Linked DNA regions of Xenopus tropicalis. The protein of the gene in region 1 interacts with the protein of each later gene in a biochemical or structural test. Links are inferred from orthologs where the notes say so. Each region holds a gene or a part of one and is shown in the gene's direction. Other genes may lie near its edges.

Evidence for each region. The genes of interacting proteins can lie anywhere in the genome.
Region 2: the proteins of snta1 (region 1) and rps6ka1 interact in a test that uses a peptide from one of them, tested with the Homo sapiens proteins (2 studies listed by BioGRID and IntAct, with this or other methods). The link is inferred for Xenopus tropicalis from reciprocal best matches to the Homo sapiens genes SNTA1 and RPS6KA1.
Region 3: the proteins of snta1 (region 1) and scn4a interact in a test that uses a peptide from one of them, tested with the Homo sapiens proteins (2 studies listed by BioGRID and IntAct). The link is inferred for Xenopus tropicalis from reciprocal best matches to the Homo sapiens genes SNTA1 and SCN4A.

The regions. Positions count from the first base shown.
Region 1 is NC_030686.2:41,866,992-41,873,462, forward strand, and holds the start of snta1 (alpha-1-syntrophin), read left to right. Parts: upstream 1-2,660; 5' UTR 2,661-2,703; coding exon 2,704-2,959; intron 2,960-6,471. UniProt on the Homo sapiens protein: Adapter protein that binds to and probably organizes the subcellular localization of a variety of membrane proteins. May link various receptors to the actin cytoskeleton and the extracellular matrix via the dystrophin glycoprotein complex.
Region 2 is NC_030678.2:77,648,023-77,653,978, forward strand, and holds part of rps6ka1 (ribosomal protein S6 kinase alpha-1), read left to right. Parts: intron 1-801; coding exon 802-881; intron 882-1,057; coding exon 1,058-1,164; intron 1,165-3,478; coding exon 3,479-3,516; intron 3,517-3,727; coding exon 3,728-3,870; intron 3,871-4,014; coding exon 4,015-4,085; intron 4,086-4,730; coding exon 4,731-4,819; intron 4,820-4,913; coding exon 4,914-4,978; intron 4,979-5,956. UniProt on the Homo sapiens protein: Serine/threonine-protein kinase that acts downstream of ERK (MAPK1/ERK2 and MAPK3/ERK1) signaling and mediates mitogenic and stress-induced activation of the transcription factors CREB1, ETV1/ER81 and NR4A1/NUR77, regulates translation through RPS6 and EIF4B phosphorylation, and mediates cellular proliferation, survival, and differentiation by modulating mTOR signaling and repressing pro-apoptotic function of BAD and DAPK1.
Region 3 is NC_030686.2:15,623,322-15,629,277, reverse strand, and holds part of scn4a (sodium channel protein type 4 subunit alpha), read left to right. Parts: intron 1-3,080; coding exon 3,081-3,563; intron 3,564-4,109; coding exon 4,110-4,230; intron 4,231-5,565; coding exon 5,566-5,720; intron 5,721-5,956. UniProt on the Homo sapiens protein: Pore-forming subunit of Nav1.4, a voltage-gated sodium (Nav) channel that directly mediates the depolarizing phase of action potentials in excitable membranes.

The DNA.
Region 1 (6,471 bases):
AGAGAATAATGTACCCCCTGGTGTAAACATAGAGGTTGAGAGGCACAGGGGTTTGCAAGTGCATGTGATTTGTGGGGCTTATTCACTTTATCCTCGCGGGACTCCCAATGGATGTTACATTGCAACTCCCAGTACCCAGTAACCAGGCATTGATTCTTATGGCAGAGCTGAACTTGTGCCCTGGTCTTGCATTGCCTGACTTCCCCAACAATCTCCCTGTTACTATTTCAAGTGAATGACAGCACCTAGTGTAGGGTGTCACATGGGCCGCCAAAGGGTGCCTGCTCTGAGCAGAAGCAGCATGGCACTACCCACACACGGGCAGAGGGGGGCAGCATAAGCTTGCTGGTGAGGTATAGAGCTTATTAACTGCAATATAATTATCAGCGGCACAGAAGAGTGCACACATGGGTATAGGGAAGCCTATGGGGGGCTTGAACCCCAACACTGTATAGCAAGGGAGAGCCAGTTACTGGCACCCAGGATCCTTACTCAGCCCAACCCTGAAGCACAGAATAACCTATGTGCTAGATGGCACAGGCTGAACATGGTTATAGGCTTGTAACAAGGTAAAGGATGGCAAGGATATACTGGGGCATTGGGTGAGGGAAGTGCAGGAAGATGGTCAGTGTGTATTGGGCACCGGGGGCAGGAAAGGGCAGTGATGGAAAGTATATAGTAATGGGCAGATGGGCAGGGGTTAATAGGAAGTATATAGAGGTGGTCAGCGTATAGTGACACTCATATAGGTACAGGAGGGCAGAGGTTGGCATTATTCAGAGATGGTCATTGAATATAGAGGAAGTTAGTAGAATATAGAGGCAGGGAGTAGTGGGCAGAATTTAGAGGCAGGGAGTAGTGGGCAGAATATAGAGGTAGGCAGGGAGTAGTGGGCAGAATATAGAGGTAGGCAGGGAGTAGTGGGCAGAATATAGAGGTAGGCAGGGAGTAGTGGGCAGAATATAGAGGTAGGCAGGGAGTAGTGGGCAGAATTTAGAGCCAGGGAGTAGTGGGCAGAATATAGAGGCAGGGAGTAGTGGGCAGAGTGTTGAGGTAGGCAGGGAGTAGTGGGCAGAATATAGAGGCAGGGAGTAGTGGGCAGAGTATTGAAGTAGGCAGGGAGTAGTGGGCAGAATATAGAGGTAGGCAGGGAGTAGTGGGCAGAATATAGAGGTAGGCAGGGAGTAGTGGGCAGAATATAGAGGTAGGCAGGGAGTAGTGGGCAGAATATAGAGGCAGGGAGTAGTGGGCAGAATATAGAGGTAGGCAGGCAGTAGTGGGCAGAATATAGAGGTAGGCAGGGAGTAGTGGGCAGAGTATTGAGGTAGGCAGGGAGTAGTGGGCAGAATATAGAGGTAGGCAGGGAGTAGTGGGCAGAGTATTGAGGTAGGCAGGGAGTAGTGGGCAGAATATAGAGGTAGGCAGGGAGTAGTGGGCAGAATATAGAGGTAGGCAGGGAGTAGTGGGCAGAATATAGAGGTAGGCAGGGAGTAGTGGGCAGAATATAGAGGCAGGGAGTAGTGGGCAGAGTGTTGAGGTAGGCAGGGAGTAGTGGGCAGAATATAGAGGCAGGGAGTAGTGGGCAGAGTATTGAAGTAGGCAGGGAGTAGTGGGCAGAATATAGAGGTAGGCAGGGAGTAGTGGGCAGAATATAGAGGTAGGCAGGGAGTAGTGGGCAGAATATAGAGGTAGGCAGGAGTAGTGGGCAGAATATAGAGGTAGGCAGGGAGTAGTGGGCAGAATTTAGAGGCAGGGAGTAGTGGGCAGAATATAGAGGTAGGCAGGGAGTAGTGGGCAGAATATAGAGGTAGGCAGGGAGTAGTGGGCAGAATATAGAGGCAGGAGTAGTGGGCAGAGTGTTGAGGTAGGCAGGGAGTAGTGGGCAGAATATAGAGGCAGGGAGTAGTGGGCAGAGTATTGAAGTAGGCAGGGAGTAGTGGGCAGAATATAGAGGTAGGCAGGGAGTAGTGGGCAGAGTATTGAGGTAGGCAGGGAGTAGTGGGCAGAGTGTTGAGGTAGGCAGGGAGTAGTGGGCAGAGTGTTGAGGTAGGCAGGGAGTAGTGGGCAGTACTGACATTATACAGCAGGTACAGGAGGGCACAGGTTGGCACCGTATGTCGGGCAGTATGACGGGATGTATTTAGTGGGCACAGGACTGGGTGAGGGGAGGCAGAGTGGCATTTAGTGGGCACAGGACTGGGTGAGGGGATGCAGAGTGGCACTTAGTGGGCACAGGACTGAGTGAGGGGAGGCAGAGTGGCACTTAGTGGGCACAGGACTGGGTGAGGGGAGGCAGAGTGGCACTTAGTGGGCACAGGACTGGGTGAGGGGAGGCAGAGTGGCACTTAGTGGGCACAGGACTGGGTGAGGGGAGGCAGAGTGGCACTTAGTGGGCACAGGACTGGGTGAGGGGAGGCAGAGTGGCACTTAGTGGGCACAGGACTGGGTGAGGGGAGGCAGAGTGGCACTTAGTGGGCACAGGACTGGGTGAGGGGAGGCAGAGTGGCACTTAGTGGGCACAGGACTGAGTGAGGGGAGGCAGAGTGGCACTTAGTGGGCACAGGACTGAGTGAGGGGAGGCAGAGTGGCACTTAGTGGGCACAGGACTGGGCAGGGCGGTCCCACATGTGCAGCCCCAGCCCGGGGAGGCGCTCTCACTCCCCCTCCCTCCCCTCCCTCTATCCCTGTCCGGGCACTCTGGCCATGGCTTCCCCGGGCACGGCTCACCGGAGCGGGCTGCTGGAGCTGCGCTGTCCCGGGGAGCGCTGGGTGCGGGTACTGCTGCTGCTCGGAGAGGAGACTGTGACTTTCACCCCGGAGCCGGAGCCCGGGGCAGCGGAGGAGAAGGCGCTGAACGGCGCGGAGCCGGCGGGGGGGGTCCCGGAGTCTCTCATTAACCTGCGCCGGACTGTCAGGGTGCTCAAGCAGGATGCGGGGGGGCTGGGGGTCAGCATCAAGGGTAAGTACCCTGCTCGGAGCCCACCTTCCTTCTCTCCTGGGCTAACTCCCTGCTATGGTGCCCACTGGCATTACTAACTCCCTGCTATGGTGCCCACTGGCATTACTAACTCCCTGCTATGGTGCCCACTGGCATTACTAACTCCCTGCTATGGTGCCCACTGGCATTACTAACTCCCTGCTATGGTGCCCACTGGCATTACTAACTCCCTGCTATGGTGCCCACTGGCATTACTAACTCCCTGCTATGGTGCCCACTGGCATTACTAACTCCCTGCTATGGTGCCCACTGGCTTTACTAACTCCCTGCTATGGTGCCCACTGGCTTTACTAACTCCCTGCTATGGTGCCCACTGGCATTACTAACTCCCTGCTATGGTGCCCACTGGCTTTACTAACTCCCTGCTATGGTGCCCACTGGCTTTACTAACTCCCTGCTATGGTGCCCACTGGCATTACTAACTCCCTGCTATGGTGCCCACTGGCTTACTAACTCCCTGCTATGGTGCCCACTGGCTTTACTAACTCCCTGCTATGGTGCCCACTGGCATTACTAACTCCCTGCTATGGTGCCCACTGGCTTTACTAACTCCCTGCTATGGTGCCCACTGGCTTTACTAACTCCCTGCTATGGTGCCCACTGGCATTACTAACTCCCTGCTATGGTGCCCACTGGCTTTACTAACTCCCTGCTATGGTGCCCACTGGCTTTACTAACTCCCTGCTATGGTGCCCACTGGCATTACTAACTCCCTGCTATGGTGCCCACTGGCTTTACTTACTCCCTGCTATGGTGCCCACTGGCTTTACTAACTCCCTGCTATGGTGCCCACTGGCTTTACTAACTCCCTGCTATGGTGCCCACTGGCTTTACTAACTACCCTGCTATCATGCCAAGTCCTACACAGGCATTAACTGACTGTGCCCCCCTCTCCTTCTCCTGGGAATTCCTCACCAGTAACCAATCTTACAATGACTACTAACTAGCCCCCTAACGGTATGGCATTCCAGTGCCCTGCTACTATGCCCTGCTTTCCTACTGGCATTACTAACTACCCTGCTATAGTGCCCAGCACTGTTAATATTAACTAATGTAGTGCCCAGTTGAGGGCATTCCTACTTAGTACTCTATGATAGTGCCAAGTTCCACAGTGGCATAACAACCATGGTCCAGCTCTGTGTAGGGCATTTGACCATTGTACCCTGCTATAGCGCCCAGCTTCCACACTGACATTAGCCCAAAATAGTGTCCAGGGCACAATTACAAAGTATGCAGTGCCCAACTTTCCCTCCGGCAGTATTAACCCTCCCAGTGCAGTGCTACAGTGCCCAGCTTTCATACTGGCATTACTCACTACTTTGGTACAATAAACTCCCTGCCCACCTTTTTCTAGGGCATTTCTGGCTAATACCCCGATACTGTGCCCACATTTTACTTTGGCATTACTAAGTAGCCCAGTTCAGTGTTCTGCTTTCACTGTGGCATCACTTATTGCCCCTATTATAGTGCCTAGATTTCCCTCAGTACCCAAGAAATGCACCCACCTTCATTATGGTTAAGCCTGTCATTTTGTGCCAACCAGTGCTCATTATGTTGCCCAGCTCTGTGTGGCATTTCTATCCACCTCATTCTAGTGTGCATGCCAAATCTCAAGGCGGCATCCCAGCCTACCATGTTGTTGTGTATAACTCTAACTTGGCATTCCTGTCACTCTTATTATTATTCAGACCTCTCACTGTGCCCTCACCTCATTGTGCCATAATAATGTGTCTCTCTGGCAGTGCCAAAGCTACTACCTCAGTTCCCTTGGGATTTCATGCCCAACTCTCACTATGCTATTAATGCCTGCCAGCTTAATATGCCCATCTCTCATTATTTGTGCCAAACTGTGCCTCTTTCTGACTAAGCCAATGCCCCTTGCCTCGGTGCCCAACTCCCTATCCAGCTTACATGTAAATGATGGTGCCAATTATTGCCCTATATGTCCCGTGACTGTTGCTGGCAGTGCCCCAGCCCTGCGTCTGTACATCAGTGCCCCCTGTCACTCTCATTCATGGCTGCCCTTTCCTGCCTTTGTAGAGTTGCGTTACCACTGGGCTGAAATAGTGACGCTGGCATAGTTTGCCCCCATGTGTCAGTAGCACTTTCTATCTGGCCAGCCTCCAACTCTAGCTATTGCAACATGTTTATAGGGGGGAGGCTGGAACTTGCAGTAAGAGCTGAAGGGCTTCAGGTTGTATTATACCTAATTGGACCCACACAGAATATTTTGTCCTGGGCTCCCCTAGCCTTACTCTCCCCCCTTGGCTTGCCCACACACACACCCAGAGCCAAACACACTGCGGCACTAGTAAACTGATAGGCACCTAAACACTCACACACCAACAACTGCGCCACATTCCTGCCCAGTGAGGCAAGTGTCCAGCCACAATCACAGTGCGGCTTATCTCATAGGCCCCACAGCAGCAGGAAGAGGAGGCTCCTGGGAAAATGGCTTCTGATCTGCTAAATGGGGCCCCAAGTTCCCAGTTCTGTCAGACTGCAACCAAACTTCTCACACAATCAGAATCACTCTGGGCTCCCCCCGTCACAAACAGGGCAACGTGATTGCAACTAAAGGCTTTAGGAAACAGTAAGAGGGACATAGGGGTCACTGCCTCAGTTCCAAGGGACAAAATACTTGCAGGCATTAAAATAGAACATCTCCCTCTCTCTTATTGGCTGAGGAATGTCCCATGCTGTTATATTGGTTTGTTTGGGAGGGGGGACACTGCCGGGACTGCCTTTCCTCCCTGCCCCCCAACACCTACTCTCCCTGCAGCACAAAGGAGCGTGGGAAATTTAAGGGACATGATATAGTGTATATTCATGTACCAGAATATTATAGGAATCTTGCATTTTGGAACTTCTTAAGACTTTTAAAGGGGAAGTTAAGCTTGAAATTAATTTTGTTCTGGTTTTATTGCATTGGCATTATAGGCAAAGTCTGAACGCTGAATGTTTTTGTTGGAAAAATGGAGGGTCCGGACTCCGTTTGTGGCGGGCTGCTCACTCAGCCTTACTCTGTCACATAACTGCTAATCCTAAAATAGCAGCGGCTTGCATGTCAGATTTAGCTGAAGCCTGTTGCTGTCTTTCTAAAGGGTCAGCCGCTTGTAGGAAATGATCAAGGACTCACAGTATCCTGGGGCAGAGAGTTGCAGGAAAAATGTATTGGCCTGTGAATGGTGAATGAAAACCTGCCCAACCAATATCTGCCTGCAGATCAGCTGGTTAAAAAATCAGGTGATGACTGCATTGGCATATTGATACCGTTCTCTCCCAGCAGGTCCCCTGAGGCGCTATTTAGGGTCACATTGTTGGGATGGTGGCCAAATCAGGCACAGATCTACTGGTTTGCATAGCAAGCTTTAGGTCCAAACTTTTCTAACGGCAGTGACATGTTTATGGGCTCAGTCCCCCCTAGGCCCAAAGTGTACTAATAGCAGTGCCATGTTTATGGGCTCAGCCCC
Region 2 (5,956 bases), on another chromosome or scaffold:
TATCCGACTCTGAATGCGTCCTAGCGATGGCGCTTTTGTAGAGTGTGCGCGCTGACGTCACGCGCGCACCCGGAAGTATTCAGCACACCGGTATGGGGGTATGTCGAAAATTCATATCGGTTTCAAAAAAAAAACCGGTGATCGGTTTTTACCGGTATACCGCCCAGCACTAGCTTGATCCACCATTTAGTGATGGGCTTTGTGCTGCCTCAGAGATCACCTGACAGGAAATAATGTAGCTCTAACTGTAACAGGAAGTAGTGTGGAAGCAAAAGCAGAGCTCTGCCCATTCATTTGCTGATATAACCTAACATGTATGTGTTCCTTGGCTTGTTTGTGTGCACTGTGACTCCTATGATCCCAAGAGGCGGCTCTTAATTCTTAAAATTTTAATTTTCTATTTCGCATTACCCAATAGCACATACTACTAAAAAGTATATTGTTATGAAAATGGTTCATTTAGATGAAGCAGGGTTTTACATATAAGCTTGTTTATGCAATATATATTTATAGAGACCTACTTTGTTTGGGGGTATAGGTTTCCTTTAAGACACGGTTTCTCTGAATGCTCCCCTCTACTGTAATCAGACACTGCAACACTTTCTATCTGTGCATAACTCACCATGGTGGTGGAGATAAGTTAGATGAAAAGCAGGTTTTTAAATTCTTTTGTCAGCCTTGCTGCAGAATACAGCTTACCCCAAACTGATAGTTAAAACTGAGCAGTACTACATGGTTCTTGCAAGTGTGTATATGCAAATAATTAAACTTTAATTAATCTTTCATATATTCTACATATAGCTTTTCAGACAGAGGGGAAACTTTACTTAATCCTGGATTTTCTACGGGGAGGAGATCTATTTACACGTCTGTCCAAGGAGGTTGGTATTAGAAATGAATTTTTCCCTTTACTTTGATCTGAATTTAAACCACTCTTCAACAATTCAACGCTGTGACCCCTGGAATTTTCCCTTTCTACTATATATAAAAATAATAATGCTTTGGGATTATGTAAGAATTACTTATGTGAATTAATTTAAATGTATTTTTAATATAGGTAATGTTCACAGAAGAAGATGTGAAGTTTTACCTAGCGGAACTGGCTTTGGGTCTTGATCATTTGCACAGCTTAGGGATCATCTACCGTGACCTAAAACCTGAAAAGTATGTTGGTGAGCCAGGCATTAAGGCAGTTTGACTGCACTGCACTGTTGGTTTGACTGCATGTGTGTTGAGATAGTGTAGGTCAGTGCTGTCCAATTTATGTGGTATTGTACATGGTGAAGGGCCAATAATGGAAGCCAATTTAGGCCACCCCCTTTTTTAAACTGCGTCCACTTTAAGCCACACCCATGTAATCACAAGTGCTTTTAAGACCATACCCAAATTAATGGTGGCAGTGCAGGAAAAACCAAAATGATTGGTGCTTACTGTAGGGAAATCACCCTTTTTTCATATGTAAAAGAAGTTTATGCACCGAATCCAGGATTCAATTCAGTATTTTTTGGCAGGTTTCTGTTTCGGGCCGAATCCATGGTCCTGGCCGAACTGAATCCTAATTCACATAAATTAGCATATGATAATTAGCACTTGAAAGTACAAATGTTAGGGGGAAAATATTTTCCCGCTGCGCACATGCACCCCGAGTTTTACCACTTTCAGATCCTAATTAGCATATGCTAATTAGGATTTGGCTTGGGGTTCGGCTGAATCCAAAAAACTGGGTTCGGTGCATCCCTAATATTAAGACATATGCTTCCCCTGTGGATAACATAGCAACCCCCAGCACATAATTACACACCATAGGTTCCATATAATGACTAGTTCCAAATACTCCCAGAACAAACCTCTGCCAGGTTTACCTCCCACAGGCAGCATAGGGCAGGCAGTGTATGGCACACACAGAGGCAGTATAGGGCAGGCAGAGAATGGCACACACAGGCAGCATAGGGCAGGCAGAGTATGGCACACACAGGCAGCATAGGGCAAGCAGAGTATGGCACACACAGGCAGCATAGGGCAAGCAGTGTATGGAACACACACAGGCAGTATAGGGCAGGCAGAGTATGGCGCACACAGGCAGCATAGGTCAGGCAGAGTATGGCACACACAGGCAGCATAGGGGTAGCAGAGTATGGCACACACAGGCAGCATAGGGGTAGCAGAGTATGGCACACACAGAGGCAGTATAGGGCAGGCAGTGTATGGCACACACAGAGGCAGTATAGGGCAGGCAGAGAATGGCACACACAGGCAGCATAGGGCAGGCAGAGTATGGCACACACAGGCAGCATAGGTCAGGCAGAATATGGCACACATAGGCAGCATAGGCCAGGCAGAGAACATAAAGTGACACAATCTGTTACTGCTCCTACAGTCTGTCTGAGATGTGAACAGTGTGAGTGCTTACAGTTTGAGCCTTTGTTGTGAATAATGCAGCGACTAAAAGGTGTGAACAATACATGGAGATGACAGGTGTGAATAACACAGGGGTTTAAAGCCTGAATCTGAGGTGTGAACAATGGAAGGGGCCAGTTAATCACAGTAATGATACCATTTAAAGCAGCCACAACAGTCAGGCAGGTGGGGGGGCCACAGAGGGGGGCTCCTGGCCAGCAGTTGGACAGCACTGGCATAGGTCAATCTTACCTTTAAGCATGAAATGGAACACTTTTCTTAGTATAATTAGCATCCTTACATGTGTGCAATAAAAAAAAGTTCCATTTCACTGATTAAAGGTAAGATTGACTTATGCTATCTCAACATACAAAATGAAATTAAATATTGTTACTGTTTCCAAAATTATAGGGGTTACTGCTACTGGGCGCTCTTAGTGCCTTTTTTTGACATATGGGGGTTTGGTGTATAGGTACTTTGCTCAGGCATATTGTTTATTTTTTCTAAATAAAAGCAACAATAAAAGTTTATCTGCACTTATTCTTAAAGGAGAAGGAAAGTCTAAGTCACTTGGGGCTGCCAAAATGTTAGGCACCCCCAAGTGACTTAAATCGCTTACCTTGTACCCCGGGCTGGTGCCCCTGTTCGGAGAAAACCGCACCAGCCCGGGGTAGCTGTAGCGAGTGCTTCCTCCTTCCGTGTTTCTTCTGCCGGCAAAATCCCTGGGCCAGAGCATGCGCATTAGAGTGAAAAGCCAACTTTTTTGTTAAAGTTCGGCTTTCGCTCTACTGAGCAAGCACAAACGCGGAACTGCTCACTACAGGTACCCTGGGCTGGTGTGGTTTTCTCCGAACAGGGGCACCAGCCAGGGGTACAAGGTAAGCGCTTAAAGTCACTTGGGGGTACCTAACATTTTGGCACCGCCTTTCCTTCTCCTTTAGAACCTCATAAAGAACACAGGTGTGGTTTAACATCAAATGATGGCTGTTAACTAAAAAAAAGATACATACCACAGTTGTTTACTTTATATCATTGTGAGTGGCACGTGGTGGTAACATCTGCCTTTCTCTGTGCTGTGCAGCATTCTCTTGGATGAAGAGGGCCATATAAAGCTTACTGGTATGTTTCTGTGAACTGTTTGTGTTCCCATCCCTGTGTATCCACTCCGATTCCTGGTGTTGTCTGATACCAATCTCTTGTGTTGGGACCATTCTTCTATACATGCAGGCTTTTGACAAACTTGGAACAAGCTTCATAATTTTCTCTGTCTCTTTTTTTGTGTGTGCACCTGTGTAACATCTAATTGGATACTTGGCATTACCCTGATCAGATTTTGGGCTAAGTAAAGAGGCAATAGACCATGAAAAAAAGGCTTATTCTTTTTGTGGGACTGTGGAGTATATGGCTCCTGAAGTAGTGAATCGACAAGGACATTCGCACAGTGCAGACTGGTGGTCTTATGGCGTGCTTATGGTAAGCTGTTTGCTTATATCTAGATAAACACAAAACAATTTATTTTACCTTTTCTCCTATTGGTATCTGTTCTTTCAGTCTCTTTCAGATTACTGGTTCCATTTTTGCCATTTCAATAATTTCTGAATGTTTCCATATTCACAGTTTGAGATGCTGACAGGATCACTGCCATTCCAGGGCAAAGACCGTAAGGAAACCATGACTCTAATCCTGAAGTAAGTAGAAAATTGGAAAATCTAGGGTGTCCGTAGAAAACTATAGCTGAAATACAAGTTACTATATGAAAGAATGGTTTGTAATGTTCACAGTTGTATATAAGTTTCACTGTCAGCAAACTAAAAAGTAGCTTAAAATTTGGTACAGAATGAGCAATTCTTATCCTCAAAAATCAAATGTGAGCTGCTGCTAGAACAACAAAGTTAATGCTTAGTAAAAGCAAGTTAAGAGTTATTTCTTTATGAAAATGTTATAGCCATTTTTATAACAGCACAAATGAAGAAAAATTCACATCAGGGAAGGAATACCACCAGAATTCTAGCATAATGTTGGTACTCGCAAAGTAGCATATTCTGGAACTTACAAACTGAGGGCACTTCAGTATTCTTTTGCCCCTGTAGCTGCATTTATTTGTTGACATAACTCATCAGTTTTAAGTGCAGGAGAGGGCAAGCTGTCTTATAGCGGTCAAGGGACATAATCATTTAGGAATACCTTGCAGTAATGGGTAGCATGAAGAAAGGAAAGAAAAAAAAAAACATATATAAATTGTACTTTGGTTTGTAGATAGACCTTCTTTTTAAATCAAAATTCGTTTTAGTGGTATTGTAGTTTATCCTGCTCACTTCAATTTTCTGCCTTAGAGCCAAACTAGGGATGCCTCAGTTTCTTAGCAATGAAGCACAGGGTCTATTACGCTCTCTCTTCAAAAGGAATCCTACTAATCGTTTAGGTAAGTAATAATTACAATCTACTAATAAACTTATTTGTTCATAAAATGAGAAGAGTAATATACATCAACATAATTCTTTTGGCATGTTTTTCAGGATCTGGTGTTGAAGGGGCTGAAGAGATTAAGCGCCATCCCTTCTTCTCGACCATTGATTGGAATGTACGTTTTTCTCTACTGCCACCATGATTTTCAAATAACTTAGAGCAAATTATTATTATTATTGCCTTCAGATTGACAGAATATTTATTATCTTAAAACCTTGCTTACTGAAAGTATAAGGAGAAAGCAATTAATAGAGAAAAGCACAAACTGAGCAATGTGTTTACTTTGCAAATGTATCAGTGTCATGGTTTTGGTATAAACTTGATTGCATTAGGTGAAGTAACCAAGGCATCATTCTGTGGAGTCTTGAATCAAAACTGTTTGCTTCCCATAGCAACCAATTATAAATATTTGCTCTAAAACAAAAATACTTACCATCATGTTTTCACACCTATGCTAATGTACTCAAGAAAAGATGATTACTTGAAATTAAACTACATTTAATAAATCCAGCTCCAGCTGTTGTAGTATTCTATGTTGATTCAGCATAAATACTGATCTATAACCTACAGCAACTGTTCAGCAGGTAGCATTTTTTTATTTTTATTTTATAACCCCTCAGTTACATTAGAAATAATGCACTAGTCATACAATGAGAGCAGTAGCTTCGTTGATGCTGCAGTGTTCTAATGTATTTAAATATTAAAGAGTTGCAAAGGCTGAACTGATTTATCTATACAAGCAAAGACAATTAATGCACTGTAAAATGTGGGGTTCAGGAGCATAAGCTCCAGAACTAAAACTAGGAGAAGTGGATAAATCTGGGATTTCTTTTTTTTTTTTTAAATCATTTTTACATTTGCTTAACTGGCCTGAGTGTGTGGTCCACAAGTGCCTAACTCTTGTGTTACTGAACTGATTTATGACAACTTCAAATATATTACTGTATTGAGTTGTAAATTGAGTGTTCCAAGGTATTCACAGGAGTGTTCAGGGGTTTTTTTTGTCTTCTTCAAGAAATGAAAGTCTTTACAAACATGGGAAATCTCAGGGCTTTACCAATGAATAACCCACTTGTTAATATTATTTGCAGGA
Region 3 (5,956 bases), about 26 Mb from region 1:
TTCCAATTAGAAGCAGTGTTTATTTCTCTACATCTGACAACCAAAACAAAGGTTGGCCAAGTTTACCTACACACTGATAGCCAAATTTCCAACACAAACCATGATCTGATCATTGGGTAGATGCCCCAGAGATCAGTACAGCTCAGGCATTCACTTGTTAGTCCAATATCTGGCTTATCATACTTTGCTGGAGGATCTACCATTTTGTTTCACTCTTCGATAATTCTTCTTAGACTATATAATGATCTTCATATTGCACACCTGCTCTTTACTTTAAAAAAAGGCTTTTTAATGCTGCATACATATATTGCATAGAGATACATCATGCCTTCCACTCTCCCATTATCCACTTTTTCCCTTTCCAAAACTCTCCAGTCAATCTTGTTGCTCCCCAACCCCTTGGATGTTGCTCCCAGAGGCCTCAAAGCAGATGCTCATTCTTGAATTTCTGGCTTGGAGGCAAGTTATGGTTGCATAAAAGCCAAGTATAATGCCAAACAGAGCCTTCTGTAGGCTGCCAGTCCACATAGGGGCTATTAAGTAGCCAATTATAGCTCTTATTGGCACCCCCAGGAAACTTTCTTATGCTTGTGTTGCTCCCCAACACTTTTTCAGTTTGAATGTGGCTCTTTAGGGTATGGCCTAGCAAGACGTTGAGTTGCCATTATTGGAAGCATGGCCTACATGGAAACACTGACTAGAGACATGGAACAGCCAAGCCAAAAAAGCTGTAGCTTGTATGAATCTGATCTCTACAAACTCACAGTAATTTCATGCAATATAAAGTCTTAAGAGGCTGCTATTTATAAAGTATTGCCAAAGATAATTGGACCAAATGTTCAAGCTTTAATCACACACTGTGCCTCTTCTGCCCCCGTTTTTATAAACCAGAACTACAGGAAGAATGGGGCTTATTTGTTGTTGTTTTCAAACGTGTTCCATGCCAATAACACAGCTCCAAAGCACATGCTGTTTGTCACGTACAAATATAGGCCCAATGCTATTTCCTCCAGAATTCCTTTAAGGCTAAAACAGGACATTAAGAGGAAGCAACTCAAGTAGCTTAGTAATCCTGTCAGAAAATAGAAATCCAAAAGCGAGTGTCTGGGTACCTAACTGCAGTATTAAACAAATGGGAGACAAGATGTCAGTGTAAAGGTTCTATTTACATGCTCTGAGCGGTACCACTAAGAGCTGGTTATTGTTTTCAGATGTGCTGTTGGCACTACTGGGGGGCATCACACAAGCAGTTTACAAGGGCTTCATACACACAGGATTTTTTCCATTTAAGATTTATTAAGGTTTTATTTGCGAACAGGGAAAAGGTGCAAAGTGCAAAAAGAAGGTGAATATTTGTTACAATGAACCTAGCCCCCCATGTTTTGTGCCAGTCACTGCCAGGTGCCAATCTTTGCAGCTCAGAGCATTTTTAGCAAGGAATTTGAGTGCAGCTTGTGGGATACGGAATGCCTTCATGGCTCTCTCGGCTAGCCCCTTAATACCTCCCAACCGTCCCGCTTTTAGCGGGACAGTCCCGATATTATAGCACTTCCCGCTGTCCCAGATTTATTGTTGGATGTCCCGCTTCTCAGCATTGCCATTTAATTGATTGCTGTGCCTGCTCTGCTCTGGGAAAAAAAGCCTGCCCCCTTAACTCTTGAATCTTCCCTGCTACCTCAAGCTCACAGGTTTACCTTGATCTGGGAGGAGCATTTGTGACAGGCAAGGGCCAACTATCAGCATTGGCTGCATTCCTCTCCTTGCTCCTGCTCACTGGGTCAGGGGCTGAGGGGGGCTCTGTCTTTTATCAGGCAGAAGAGGCTGCTGCCTTTATTTGTGTGCTGGGCAGTTTCACCTTCCCACCCCTAACATATCTCTCTCACTCCTGTGAATCTCTGGCAGAGCACAGCATGCAGGGGAATAGGAGACAGAGGTATCGCTGATCCGTTCACAAAATATAGCAGACATTTAAAAAGGGCCCTTATAAGTTTGGGAACCTTAGGCTGGCCTTGATAATATGGCTAGAAATTCTAGTGGTACATTAATATTGTATTGCTTTCAACTGATTAAGAATGGAAGGAAATAACATAGATTTATGTACCACTGGAATTGGCCCTGTTTATAACTTTGGCAAATGCACAGAACTGTTGGCATGTCTGAAGTTGATATGCCCTCTATCAATTTCATGTAGTAATTTAACTGGGATGTCTGGGGTTAATATGCCCTTTATCAATTTAATGTAGTCATACTGGCACATTTGAAGTTAATTTGTCCTTTTATTTAGTGATTATACTGGCACATCTGGGGCATGTAAAGTGGGTGTTGCATGTGGGGCGTGGTCACAAAGCAGGCGTGGCCAAAAAAATTTGCCACACTACCCACGTCACATATTTTTGTGCCTCTTTCTCTTAATGAAATGTTGGGAGGTATGCCCTTATGACTACAGTGCTGCCAAAAGCAGGCAGCAGTATTCATTTGGGAGGCCTAGGGCCTAGGTTAAAAGTATGGCTGAAATAATACACCTATTAGTGAACCCGCCTTTGCACCCCCCTGTTAGCAAACTGATGTATTTTCTCCTTTATCGTGTGCATGTATATTTATTTCACTTCATTTACGTTTCTATTTTAAAACCATATTCAGATTTACCTATAGGGCTTATCCTAATACATTAACTCTCAGTCTTAAATGCTGATACAAATGCCCTCAGCATGCATGGGAGAAGTAACAGGAAAAACACTTGTAGGGTAGGATCCAATACATTTTTTATACCCCTACAAATCTTTTCTGGCTGTTGAGAAGCTTCTTGTGCATTGAGAGTATGAAATTTCAGGAGAGGAGAATGTGTACCATCAGTAATAAATCCAAACTTCCTTTCATACAATCTATGGTTATTTGATCCCTCTGAATGTGTGAAATTTGGGCTGCGTGTGTCCCTGGGCTGGGGCGGCCTGCCTCTCAATAAAGCACCTGATCAAACTGGAAACAGGGAAATAGTTGTCAATATCAGGATGGAAACACCAAGATTCTTTTATTAGTAAATTTGCCTTCATTTAATGACACTGCCCAATACTTTTCTTTAGGTCCTCAATCTCTTTTTGGCTTTGTTGCTGAGTTCCTTCAGCGCGGATAACTTGTCGGCTTCGGACGACGATGGGGAGATGAACAACCTGCAGATCGCCATCGGAAGGATCACCAGGGGCATTGACTTTGTGAAGAAAACCTTCTTCTCCATCCTACATTACAAGAGGAAGGCAAAAGCTGAGCAGGAGGAAGAGGACCCTAACAAAGAAAACATTGCTCTGAACCATGTAGAGACAGAACCAGAACCCAAGATAGAACTAGAACCCAGGACAGAACCAGAACCCAAAAAAGAACCTCCACTGATTGATGGCGTGACTAAAAAACGTTATTACATGGATGAGTTTGACCACGCTAATTTTTTTAACAACCCACACATGAGAATAGAAGTACCTATTGCCTCAGAAGAGTCCGACTTCGACATTCCAGACACGGATGAGTTTAGCACACAGTCGGAGGTAGAGGAAGGGATTTTACACCACAAGGTATGAATACAATGCATACTTGTGAAATGTAATGTTCTTCAGTATCAGGACATGACCTGCTTGTTTATAACCTGTGTTCCCATCACAGAGATAAGAAGAAAATAGTTTCATGTATCTTTCACCTCCCTGTATTTCTCCAGGATAGGTATAGAAGTTCACTGATTGTCATGGTTTAGACCAAACCTGACTGGTGTAGGCATCTTTTTTTTTTTTTTTACTAGAAATGGTGCTCATTATCTTAATACCCATTGGCTAGATCCCAAAGAAGTCCACTTTATACAAGTTATAAGTTTAAAGTTTTTTGGAGAAACTCTATATTTTATGCTGTGGGGGAAAAAATATTGTTACTATAGACACTTTTTTTGTAAAACTACCTTGGCCTTTTATATAAAATTATGACTTTTGTCCTAGAGTCCATCTCACCCTATGCACTCACTGAAAAACTCTCAATTAAGTGGGGTCTTGTCTGGGTTGGACTAAAGTCCTTTGACCTGTATTTATAAAACATGCAGTGTGACATTGATGACATTTCTTTTTCCGCATCAGAAGTACGATGATGGCTCGTCAGTGTGTAGCACAGCAGATTATAAACCTCCTGAACCTGAAGAGGAAGAGGAGGCCTTTGAACACAAAGAAGACGAAGGCCCAGAAGAATGCTTTACTGCTGGTATGGAGAAAAGTAAAACTTCCATTCTGTGTACACAAAGGGATATTATTATGAAATGTGAGATCTGCTACAGTTAAGCAGTAGTCGCTACATTTCAAGTAATACAGAGAGGCAAGAATAAAACTTGCCAATACATGACAAAGTCAGACCAAAAACGTCACTAAGGAGTGAACTACAGCTTCTACTATTTAAAAATACTCTGTTTGTATAAACTTAGTAACAAGTGGTTGCTCTCCCATTTCCAAATTTTCTTCTTTTTTGTTGGCGTGGCCAGCATCAAGCTGGCTAACAGTTGTTCTAAAATAAAAGAGATCTCCTCTAAAGTGAGGTGAGGCTGAGTTATACAGGGAACTCTGAGTATCATTCATGTATTATAAGGGATAATGTACCCCCTACTGTAAAGGATAAGGATATTAGAAGTCACTGAGGGGTTCTGTGACCATATAAAGGCACAAAGCTGCAGGCTGAGTTATACAGGGAACTCTGAGTATCACTCATGTATTATAAGGGATAATTTACCCCTACTGTAAATTATAAGGATATTAGAAGTCACTGAGGGGTTCTGTGCCCATATAAAGGCACAAGGCTGCAGGCTGAGTTATACAGGGAACTCTGAGTATCACTCATGTATTATATGGGATAATGTACCCCCTACTGTAAATGATAAGGATATTAGCAGTCACTGAGGGGTTCTGTGCCCATATAAAGGCACAAGGCTGCAGGCTGAGTTATACAGGGTACTCTGAGTATCACTCATGTATTATAAGGGATAATGTACCCCCTACTGTAAATGATAAGGATATTAGCAGTCACTGAGGGGTTCTGTGCCCATATAAAGGCACAAGGCTGCAGGCTGAGTTATACAGGGAGCTCTGAGTATCACTCATGTATTATAAGGGATAATGTACCCCCTACTGTAAATGATAAGGATATTAGCAGTCACTGAGGGGTTCTGTGCCCATATAAAGGCACAAGGCTGCAGGCTGAGTTATACAGGGAACTCTGAGTGGTTCTGTGACTATATAAAAGCACAGGGTTGAGACATGCAGGTAATATAATTCAGTGAACTGTGTAAAGTACGTCTATCTATAGAGGCCATAGCTGCATGTTCTGCACCAAGAAAATTGCTACAGTCCACATGTACAACTAAACACACTCATATATTTATATATTGATGATAGACAGACAGACAGATAGATAGATAGATAGATAGATAGATAGATAGATAGATATTAAATGGATATTGTACCTATACCCTGGGTCCATACAGAAGAAAACTAAATGTAGAACCACAGTTCGTCTAATTAAATAGCTCTCCTATATTTGTTTTTAAAGACTGTGTACGAAGATGCCCTTGTCTTTATGTCGACATCACAACAGAAAAAGGGAAAATTTGGTGGAACATTCGGAAAACATGTTTCCAGATTGTGGAGCATAACTGGTTTGAAACCTTCATCATCTTCATGATCTTACTCAGTAGTGGAGCACTGGTGAGTATATAATACCTTGTCCCCATATCACTTAACAACAAGAAAGCTTATGCACAGTATGCAGCAAGTAGTATGATGCCCAGTTGTGGCCACCATATATATTCTTATTTGCACTGGAAACCCAACATTTTAGTCATAAACTATAGAATTTAAATCTTTTTATATAATTATTACTGCCCAAACTCAAGCATAGATTAATTCAAGATTTTTTAAATGTAAGCCCCCATATGTAATAA